Linked DNA regions of Macaca mulatta. The protein of the gene in region 1 interacts with the protein of each later gene in a pairwise test. Links are inferred from orthologs where the notes say so. Each region holds a gene or a part of one and is shown on either strand. Other genes may lie near its edges.

Region 1 (3,517 bases):
ATTTCTTTAAAAATATGAACCTATTTATTTCTTCTTTCACCCTGAAAATAAGCAAAATCTGAAGGGATTTTTTTTCTTTTCTTTTTAAAATGTATTTTAGGTCCAGGGGGTACATATGCAGGTTTGTTTCATGGGTAGTTTGCATAATGGTGAGGCTCAGGCTTCCAGTGAACTCATCATCCAAATTGCGAACATTATACCCAACAGGTAAATTTTCAGCCCTTAACCTGCCACTCCCCTTTTAAGAGTCCTCAGTGTCTATTATTTCCAGCTTTGTTTCCACGTGCACCCCATTTTTAGCTCCCACTTATAAGTGAGAACATGTGTTATTTGACTTTCTGTTTCTGGGTTATTTTACTCTAGGAGATTGGCCTAGCTCCATCCATGTTGCTGCCAAGGGCACAATTTCATTTTTTTTATGGCTGCGTAGTATTCCATGCTGTATATATAACACAGTTTCTTTATCTAATCAAACATTAACGGACAACTTAGATTGATACCATGACCTTGCTGTTGTGAACAGTGCTGCAATAAACATACAAATGCAGGTGCCCTTTTGATTAAAAAAAAAAAAAGAAAAGAAAAAGTTATTTTCCTTTAGGATTTACCCAGAAGTGGAGCTGCTAGGTAGAATGGTAGTTCTATTTTTAGTTCTTTGAGAAATTTCCATACTGTTTCCCAAAGAGATTGAACTAACTTACATTCCTACCAACAGTGTATAAGCATTCCCTTCTCTCTGCAGCCTCACCACCATCTGTTACTTTTTCTGACCTTTTAGTAATAGCCATTCTGACTGGTGTGAGTTGGTATCTCATTGTGGTTTTGATTTGCATTTCTCTGATGTTTAGTGATATTGAGCATTTGTTCATCTGTTGGTTGACTGCCTCTTTTGAGAAATGTGTGTTCATGTCCTTTGCCCCCTTTTTAATAGGATTGATTTTTTCTTGTTGAATTGTTTGCATTCCTTGTAGAATCTGTTGGATGTATAGTTTGCAAATATTTTCTCCCATCATGTAGGCTGTCTGCTTACTCTGTTGATTGTTTATTTTGCCACGCAGGAGCTCATTAGCTTAATTAAGTCCCATTTGTCTGTTTTTGTTTTTGTTGCATTTGCTTTTGAGGTGTTAGTCATAAACATGTTGCCTAGGCCAATATCCAGAAGAGTTTTTCCTAGATTTTCTTATTATAGTTTTGGGTACATTTAAGTCTTTAATCCATTGTGCATTCATTTTTGTATATGGTAAGGGATAAAGTTCTAGTTTCATTCTTCTGCATATGGCTAGCCAACTTTCCCAGGGTGTCCTTTCCTCATTGTTTATGTTTGTTGACTTTGTCGAACATCAGTTTGTTGTAGGTATGTGGCTTTATTTCTGGGTTCTCTATTCTGTTCCATTGATCTATATGTCTATTTTTGTATCAGTGCCATGCTTCTTTGGTTATTACAGTCTTACAGTATAGTTTGATGTCAGGTAATGTGATGCCTCCAACTTTGTTCTTTTAGCTTAGGATTGCTTTGGCAATTTGGGCTCCTTTTTGGTTCCATATGAATTTTAGAATTGTCTTTTCTAATTCTGTAAAAAATGACATTGGCAATTTGTAGACTGCTTTTGGCAGTATAGTCACTTTAACAGTATTGATTCTTGTTATCCATGAGCATGGGATGTTTTTCCATTCATTTGTGTCATCTATGGTTCCCTCATCAGTGCTTTGTAGTTCTCCTTGTAGGGGTCTTTCACCTCCTTGGTTAAATGTATTATCCTAGGGGTGTGTGTGAGGTGTGTGTGTGTGTGTGTGTGTGTGTGTGTGTTATTATAAATGGGATTGAACTCTTGATTTGATTCTCGGCTTGAGCATTATTGATGTAACTGATTTTTGTGCATTAATTTTGTATCCTGAAACTTTACTGAACTTATCGGCTCCAGGAGTCTTTTGGAGGAATATTTAGGGTTTTCTAGGCATAAGATCCTGTCATCAGCAGAGATAATTTCACTTCCTCTTTTCCAGTTTGGATGCTTTTTGTTTTTTTCTCTTGCCTGACAGTTCTGGCTGGGACTTCCAATACTATAGGAGTGGTAAGAGTGGAAATTCTTGTCTTGTTCCAGTTCTTAGGGGGAATGCTCTTAGCTTTTTCCCATTCAGTATGATGTTGGCTGTGGGTTTGTCATACATAGCTCTTATTATTTTGAAATATGTTCCTTCAATGCCAACTGCTATGGATCTTTTCCTAGGGTTCAGGTGAAGAGATGAGCAAAAATAGTCTAATAAACACTTTATGTCATGAAAAGTTATAAAGCAAATAACTGGAAACTTAATGTCATTTAAGTATATTAAAATTTTTCCTACCTAGTTTCTTTAGGACTCAGAATATTCTGTCTGTTGAGATATTTTACAAAGAAATTGATTGCCATGTGTACCAATTGTGGATTACGAATTCTCTAAGAATTAGAATCCACACTTAATAGCAAAGATTCAGAAGGCGCTTAAAGGATTGTTCAATCTCTCAAGGTCATCACTGTAAATATTGCTTATTATATCAGAGACACACACACACAGGTAAGAGTAATGAAGAGAATGCCAGACAACAGTCCGTTCTTCCATTCATCCATTCAGTAAGCATTTACTGAGTACTACTTTGTGGAGGCAAAAGCATGTGGAGACTCAATCATTGAACTAAGTTTCTGTCCATAGAATTTACAATGCTTAATATTCCATCTGTCTAAAGAGTAAAAGGATTTGTCAGTATTCGGAGCCCTTTAAGTCATTAACAGAACCCAAGGCTCCTAACACCCCCTTTCATTAGAAGCATAAACAAGCAATTATTTCACTTAGTAACTGGAATTCAAATATAAATAATAAGCAAATGGCAGCCTTTATGTCTGCCCATTTTCTGATTTTTCTACCATCTTGCCATATCTGCTGTCAGCTACTTATGTGTGGGTGAATGTAAATGCCAGGCAAGCTAACATGAAGGAAATTATGCATTCTTATTACAATGAATATCAACATCTAGACCTAGTGTTAAAGACAGTCCTAAGCAGTTATATCTCTGGATGATGAAGAGAGTCTTCAATATAAAGCAAAGGCCATAAGTGTTCTGCCAACCAAAGTTCGCTAAGGGAAGCTAAATCAGTATCTATGACAAAAAAATCCCACACCAGGAACATCACCTTCATGAAGCTGACACCCAACATCAATATTTAAATTTACATATTGTTGCTTATACATTCATTATTAATACAAAGAACTTGAATAACCTGATGTACTTCTTAACTCATAATTTTTCTATTACAGTTAAATATGAAAGGATCAAATTTTTGGTGATTGCCTTAAAGAATGCTGTGGAAATATATGCTTGGGCTCCTAAACCATATCATAAATTCATGGCATTTAAGGTAAGCAGGCATGTGATTATCTAAAAATGTGCTTTTTAAAAATTTTCAGTTTCTACCCATTAATAAAATAGTCCATATAGACCAATACCAATTTTCATATAGATAATAAGTGTAGGTACTCTTGG
Region 2 (3,517 bases), on another chromosome or scaffold:
CCAGGCTAGAGCACAGTGGCACGATCTTGGCTCACTGCAAGCTCTGCCTCCTGGGTTCACGCCATTTTCCTGCCTCAGTCTCCCCAGCAGCTGGGACTACAGGCACCCGCCACCATGCCCAGCTAATTTTTTGTGTTTTTAGTAGAGACAGGGTTTCACCATGTTAGCCAGGATGGTCTTGATCTCCTGACCTTGTGATCCGCCAGCCTTGGCCTCCCAAAGTGCTACGATTACAGGCGTGAGCCACTGCGCCTGGCCGAAACGTACATTTTCATTGTGCTTTACCATATGTAAATAAGTAAACATACCTGTTCTGATTTAAGTACATTGAGTTCTTTCTGAAGTTTATCATTTTCACTTGGTTGAGCTGCTCTAAGTGATGATTCCTTTGTTACAGATGGTAAGTGATCCAAAATCAACTGTTCTTGCTTACTTTCTTTTCCAGTAGTCATATTTTCAAAAGAAACTTTATCTTCCACCATTATTTTTGATTCTTCACCAAAACTTTTATTTACTTTAGAAACTGATCCTTCAGCATCCCTGCTTGTCATAGTCACAACTCCATCTGATAAGGAGCTTACTTGAGTATCACATGACTGTACATTTTCTGCCCTGTTGTGGTTAATAATGATTTCTAGCTCTCTACATCTCAATAAAACTTGTTCTTTCTCTTGCTTTAAAGATTTAACTTCTTCATTTAGAAAACTAATCTCACCATGTTTCTGTTTCAATTGTTCAGAAAGATCAGCTAGTCTCTGTGACAGCTCTAATTTCTCTCGCTTGGTTACCTCAAGTTTTTCCATGAGTTCTGTTGTATCCTTCTCAACAACCTCACCCATTTCCAATGTTTCTGCTACAAAAGTTTTGTCTTCATCAAAGACAGAACTTTTCGTTTTCACTGTAGTTGGATTTATTCTTTGCAAATGAAGCTCTTCATTAAGTGCTTTAAGCTTACTTTTATACTCTAATTCCTGTTTATTTTTACTGTCTTCTAAATCATCTTTTACTTTGAGAAGGCAAGCATATTCCTCTTGTAACTCTTGATAGTTAACTTCAAAGTTTTTTTCCGCAAATGAAAAAGTGTTCCTTTGCTTTTCAATCTCTTCATTTAGCTGAATACATTGCTGTTTGAGGTCCTCATTTTCCTCTGTAAGTATTTCTATTTCTTTTTCCCAGACAGAGTCTTTGGATTTGGACTTAATGGAGTCTATGAAAATCAATCTTTCTTCTTGGTTATCCGGAGTATGTATTTTCAACATGTCTTCAAGAGCTTTCTTTTCATCTTTAAGAATGCTATTCTCTGCTTCAAGTTGTGTGAATTTTTCTTGAAGATCATTCTCTTTTTCCTTCATCTGTTTTTCTAATAGTTCTATTTTAAGTTGTAATTCTTGAACTTCTTGTTCAAGTGTACCCTTTTCCTTTTCTTCTTGTCTGAGTATTTCAATTTCTTTTTGAAGTTCATTGATTTGAAGAGTCATTTCTTCTGACTTTGAATTTACAAGAGACTGCTGTAAATCTTTTAGCTTCGAAATTTCCAAAATTAATTGATTCTGCTTAGTTATCAAATTGTCTTTTTCAAACTGCATGGTTTCTATCTTTTGACTCATTTCATTCTGTAAACCATCTATCTGCTGTTTATAGTGAATGCCTAAATTATCTTTAAGTTTTTCAATATTTATTTGATGTTCAATTTCTAAATCTTCCTTCAATTTGGAAAGTTCTTCTTCATGACTAAATAGAAGCTGTGTTCTCAGCCTCTCTAATTCAGCTTCTTGTGATTCAGCCATTCTGTCTAACACAGCATTCTTTTCTTTTTCTAACATTTCAAGTTTTATCTTATAATTTGTAACTTCTGCTTCATGTTTTAATTCTAGTTCCTTTCGGGATTCAGATGCAGAAACAATCTCAGCTTTCAAATCTTCCACTGTACTAAGGGACTTTTGTGCTTCATTCAGTTTACTTTCTTGTTCAGCTATTGTCTGTCTAGCTCTCTGAATTTGTTCCCTTGAAAAGCTCAATTCTTCAAAAAGGTCTTCAAGCTGTCTCTGCAGAGCACACTTTTCTTCTAAAATTACTCCTAGTTCTTCCTTGAGTTTTTCCTTTTGAGAGTTAGTATCTTGCAATTTTATATTCAGTTCATTTATTGCCACATTCATTAACTTTATCTGATCTTCATTAACTGTAATATTTGGATATGACCTTAAAGCATTCTCCATTTCTCCCTTATGCCGTGTTTTAAGTTCCTCCATCTGTGACACGTGTTGTCTTATTAATTCTTGTTTCATTTGCACTATCTGCTGCCCATACATCTCATCCAGCTCTGCTCGGAGTTGTTCTAACTTTCTTTGTGTTTCTTGTTCCATTCGTTGTACTATATCAGTTTCGAACTGGCTGTCTTTATGATTTCTCTTCTGAAGTTCTTCGACTGTCCCCATTAACTGTTTTATTTCTTCAGAAGATTGTCTTTCTTTTTGCTTAGAATTAGTCAGCTCTAATTTCATATTTTTTATTTCTTGGTTCTTTTGCACAACCTGTTCTTGTAATTCTCCTAGTAATTTATCAGCAGCTGTTAATTTATCCTTTAGCTCAAGAGTTTTCTTTTCTTCTTCTATTATTTTTGTGTTTAATTCTTCAATGATTGTCTCCTTTTCCTGTATTTCTTCTTTATTTGAGTTTTCTACTTTTTTATCTTGTTCCTTTAGGGAAAAAAATGAAAATGTAAGATGGCATTTTTAGATTCTGGCAAATTATACCGCTTCATCTCATTACCAAAAGATTGATAGAAGTTTCCTTTTTAAAAAATTCTACAAAAAGTAAATGTTGGTCCTGCCCCTCAATTTTTTCCACAATAATGAGACCTAGAACTCGTGTACCCAACACTACTTGTGAGCAAACACTACAGTAGTTATGGCCTTCTTAGAAGAAATTTCTCTTAACATTTCTGTGATTAAAAGTTTTAGTTTAAAAACCCAGTCTGATTTTAGATGTCTCCAAACTGTTATATTCTCATTTTTCTTAATAACTGATCAACATTCTAAATATTTAGTATTCTCTATAGCTAAAGTACTGCATATACTCTAAACACATTCAGAAAGATAAAAACAAATCAAAGTTCCTCACATGTATTCTGGTGACTTCAATGTGTGTCATGGGCAAGGGCTATGGAAAAGAAAAACAACAAAAACAGATTCCTAATGGTCTGTCTTAACTTCAGTCCTGGGCTCTTAAGTCAGTCAGAAATTTAGAGATATGCAATGCTTAAAAGGTTGAACCTCAAGTGACATCTAAGACAACTATACCATTTATGGCATATCAACTTGGTCCTAAACTTTTGGTTTAAACAGAATTTTGAAAGCAAAGCAGATACTCTCCCCCAGTTCTTATTTGGGATTCTATTCTGGAACGGAGACAAGGCTAAGCGCAGACACAGGCCAAGGCATATTTGTTATTGTGATTACTTCAGCATGACAAAGTCAAGCAGAGGCCCTCGGTCAAAGTTTTGCTTCAGTAACTTAGT
Region 3 (3,517 bases), on another chromosome or scaffold:
TGGAAGAGCTCGTCCATGATGCTGGATGCGCGGCTGAAGCGGTCCTGCATGACATCCATCATGTGTGTCTGCTGCCGGTCGTTCTCCAGCAGGGAGTCTATGCGGTCGCCGTTTATCCAGAAGTAGAAGGGTGAGCTCTGGTTCAGGAACTCCTCGAGCTGGGACAGCCAGCATGGGCACAATTAGGAGAAGCTCACCAAGGCCATGGCCTTCTGGCCTCCCACTCCCTCGGGAGCCAGGCCAGGCCCTGCCCATGGCTGTAACAGTCACACAGCAAGTGACCAACAGCCCAGCGGGACCAGCCCCCAGCACCCCAACTGTCAGGTCCACGCCCTTTCCTTTTACCTCCCTCCATGGGGGACAGTTTTGAGACACCTGGGAGGCCATAAGAGTCACAAGGCCCAACATTTCAGGTTCATCCACGGTCATCTTTGGCCACCAATGATATCCACCCCCTGCTCAGCTAAGGGCCAACTGATGTGACTTCAGGGACTGGAGCAATTCACTGAGTCCCAATCAAAAAAGCCCTGCAGCAGAGGACAGGAGCAATACTAATACACTAAAAAAATCTTACATTGGCTGGGCACAGTGGCACACATCTGTAATCCCAACAATTTGGGAGGCTGAGGTAGGAGGATTACTTGAGCTTAGGAGTTTGAGACCAGCCGGGGCAACTTGGCCAAACCCCATGTTTACAAAAAAAATACAAAACTTAGCTGGGTATGGTGGTGTGTGCCTCTGGTCCCAGCTACTTAGGAGGCTGAGGTGGGAGGATCACCTGAACCCAGGAGGTCAAAGCTGCAGTGAAACATGATCACACCACTGCACCCCAGCCTGGGTGACAGAGTGAGACCCTGTCTCAAAAAAAAAAAAAAAATTCTTAAATCCTTCCACATAAGTGGACACAGGGCTCTGCCATCCCACAAAGTGGTTATGTCATCCAGCTAAGCACTGCTGCATGAGTTTTCTAAGAGAAGGTAGATACCTGGCCTACATCCTTTTGATGACTCCACTCTCACTACTCATGCCAGACATCACCAATGGAGCATGGCACTCTGGGACCCAATGCAGCCAGCCAATACTAATCAATTGCATCTGGCATGTGGAATGAAGCATATTTCACTAGGCTCCCGTCCTTCCCCACTCAGCCTTGGCCACTGATGTGTCCCTTTTCACCTGGCGGCCAACCAGGCCCGAGCCACTTCTGCAGACGCGTGCGTAGAACTTCATGCAGGTCTGTTTCAGGCAGGGCTTACACTCTTCCCAGAGGGCCATCATGGTCTCATTGCACACTCCTGGGAACTCCTTCAGCTTTGTCTCTGATTCCCTGGTCTCATTTAGGGCATCCTACAGGAAGACACGAGGCTGGCTGAGCCACACAGAGACCACAGGCTCACACACTCAAGGAGGTGCTGGGTGCCAGGCCCTCTGCCCAGGGCAGGCCTTCCCACAGGATGGCCACCCAGCATGCAAGTGTGCACCCCTGCTCCAGTTCAGGCTTCCCTTCATTCACCCACCTGGAATCCCCTTCCCACCGGCTTGAAGAATCCACTCACCCTTTAAGATCCAACTGTTCCCTAACTCCTAGAAGCTTCCCAGCTCCTGGAACCCATGTGGACAGCACCTCTCTCCGATTTAGTGCGCTGATCATCTACTCAGTGACTACCCTCTCACTGAAGCCTCATTTTCTATTCTCTGCTTCTGGTATTTAAATTTCATCTTCCAAAGCAGGCTGCAGACTCCCTGAATCTTATCTTTCTATTGCAACCATGCCCCCTGGCATGCAAAGGGAATGGCAGGCTTTCAACACCAAAGCCACACCAGCTGTCAAAATTCTCTAATGGGTCCTTGCCATTTGACCCAATAATTCTCTAAGAATCTATCTCAGGCCAGGTGCAGCGGCTCACACCTGTAATCCCAGCACTTTGGGAGGCCAAGGCGGGCATATTACTTGAGGTCAGAAGTTCGAGACCAGCCTGGCCAACATGGTGAAACCCCGTCTCTACTAAAAATACAAAAATTAGCTGGTGTGGTGGTGCGCACCTGCACTCCCAGCTACTTGGGATGCTGAGGCAGGAGAATCGCTTGAACCCGCAAGGCGGAGGTTGCAGTGAACCGAGATCAAACCACTACACTCCAGCCTGGGTGACAGAGCGAGACTCTGTCTCAAAAAACAAAACAAAACAAAACAAAGACTCTATCTCAAAGGAATCCCCTGACAAAGAAAAAGATGCTTAAAAATATTCGGTACAGTATTAACTTATGGCAAAAAAAATAAAATCAGAATCAACCCAGATGCTTAAAAGAGACAGGTTAAACAAACTGTGGTTCCTACAAAGAGTAAATGGTACATCATTACAAAGGATGTTTATAGTCCATTTTGAATATTATCATATGTACTGTTTATGTGAAAAATTCATAATTTTGTGCATAGCCACTGTCAAAAAAGCACAGAGGAAAAGAATAGGAAGAAATAGATCAAATGTTAACAGTGACTTGTCCTTGGGCAAAAGGATTATGGAAAAACTTTTCCTCTTCTACTTTTCTATATTAAAGTCTCTATAAATAAGTGTGTTAGTCTTCAAAAAAAAATTAGCCTATCCACACCCCAGAGTTACGTGAGGTCTTTGTCCTGCTCCATCATCCCCTGTTCCCTGCTGGGCAAAGACAGCCCACCTCCCTCTGAGCCAAGACACAAGTGCCACCCATGCTGCCTACTTCCTTTCCTTCTGGCTCACCTACTCCTCAACTAAGAAGTAGCTCTTAGTTGTAGCTCTTTGAGACACGCTCTTTTCTCCAAATGTGATGTGCTTTATTATAAAACCAGAATTGTTGAAGGTCAAACTCCAGTGATAACCACAAAAGTGTGAGCATGAGACATGCTCCTTCCCCAGGAGCTATTTGAGGATTCTCACAGAATGGTGAGAACTGGCCTGTTAATCCCAGCACTGTGGGAGGCCAAGGCAGGCAGACCAAGAGGCCAAAGTTAAGAGTTCGAGACCAGCCTGGCCAATATGGTGAAACCCCACCTCTACTAAAAACACAAAAAATTAGCTGGGTGTGGTGGCGCGTGCCTGTAATCCCAGCTACTCAGGAGGCTGAGGCGGGGAATCACTTGAACCCTGGAGGTGGAGGTTGCAGTGAGCTGAGATTGTGCCATTGCACTCCAGCCTGGGCAACAGAGCAAGACTCCATCTCAAAAAAAAGAAAAAAAAAAAAAAAAGAACGGTGAGAACTGATACTGAGGCCAAGAAAGGGCATGAAGCTTGAAAAAAAGGTAGAGCTGCATCCAGGCCAGCATTCCCTGAAGTGGCTTCCATGGAGCTGTGCTCAAAGCAGCCAGAAAAAAAAAAAAAAAAATGAATTCCCTGGTCAATTTGGAAAACTCTGGGTTTCATGGAGTTACACAGGTTTCTTTACTGCACAACATCTCAGAGCCTTTGAAATGCTTTTAACATGCATGATGGATCATGAAGCTGGCAGGTAGCTACATCTTAGCATCTGAAGTAGGGCGACC

What was found.
Region 2: the proteins of TNIK (region 1) and AKAP9 interact in a two-hybrid assay, tested with the Homo sapiens proteins (2 studies listed by BioGRID and IntAct). The link is inferred for Macaca mulatta from reciprocal best matches to the Homo sapiens genes TNIK and AKAP9.
Region 3: the proteins of TNIK (region 1) and CLU interact in a two-hybrid assay, tested with the Homo sapiens proteins (2 studies listed by BioGRID and IntAct). The link is inferred for Macaca mulatta from reciprocal best matches to the Homo sapiens genes TNIK and CLU.

Annotation. Positions count from the first base shown.
Region 1 is NC_133407.1:82,747,733-82,751,249, reverse strand, and holds part of TNIK (TRAF2 and NCK-interacting protein kinase), read left to right. Parts: intron 1-3,291; coding exon 3,292-3,392; intron 3,393-3,517. UniProt on the Homo sapiens protein: Serine/threonine kinase that acts as an essential activator of the Wnt signaling pathway. Recruited to promoters of Wnt target genes and required to activate their expression. May act by phosphorylating TCF4/TCF7L2.
Region 2 is NC_133408.1:127,374,412-127,377,928, forward strand, and holds part of AKAP9 (A-kinase anchor protein 9), read right to left. Parts: intron 2,697-3,517; coding exon 309-2,696; intron 1-308. UniProt on the Homo sapiens protein: Scaffolding protein that assembles several protein kinases and phosphatases on the centrosome and Golgi apparatus. Required to maintain the integrity of the Golgi apparatus. Required for microtubule nucleation at the cis-side of the Golgi apparatus.
Region 3 is NC_133413.1:29,347,311-29,350,827, forward strand, and holds part of CLU (clusterin precursor), read right to left. Parts: intron 1,348-3,517; coding exon 1,177-1,347; intron 159-1,176; coding exon 1-158.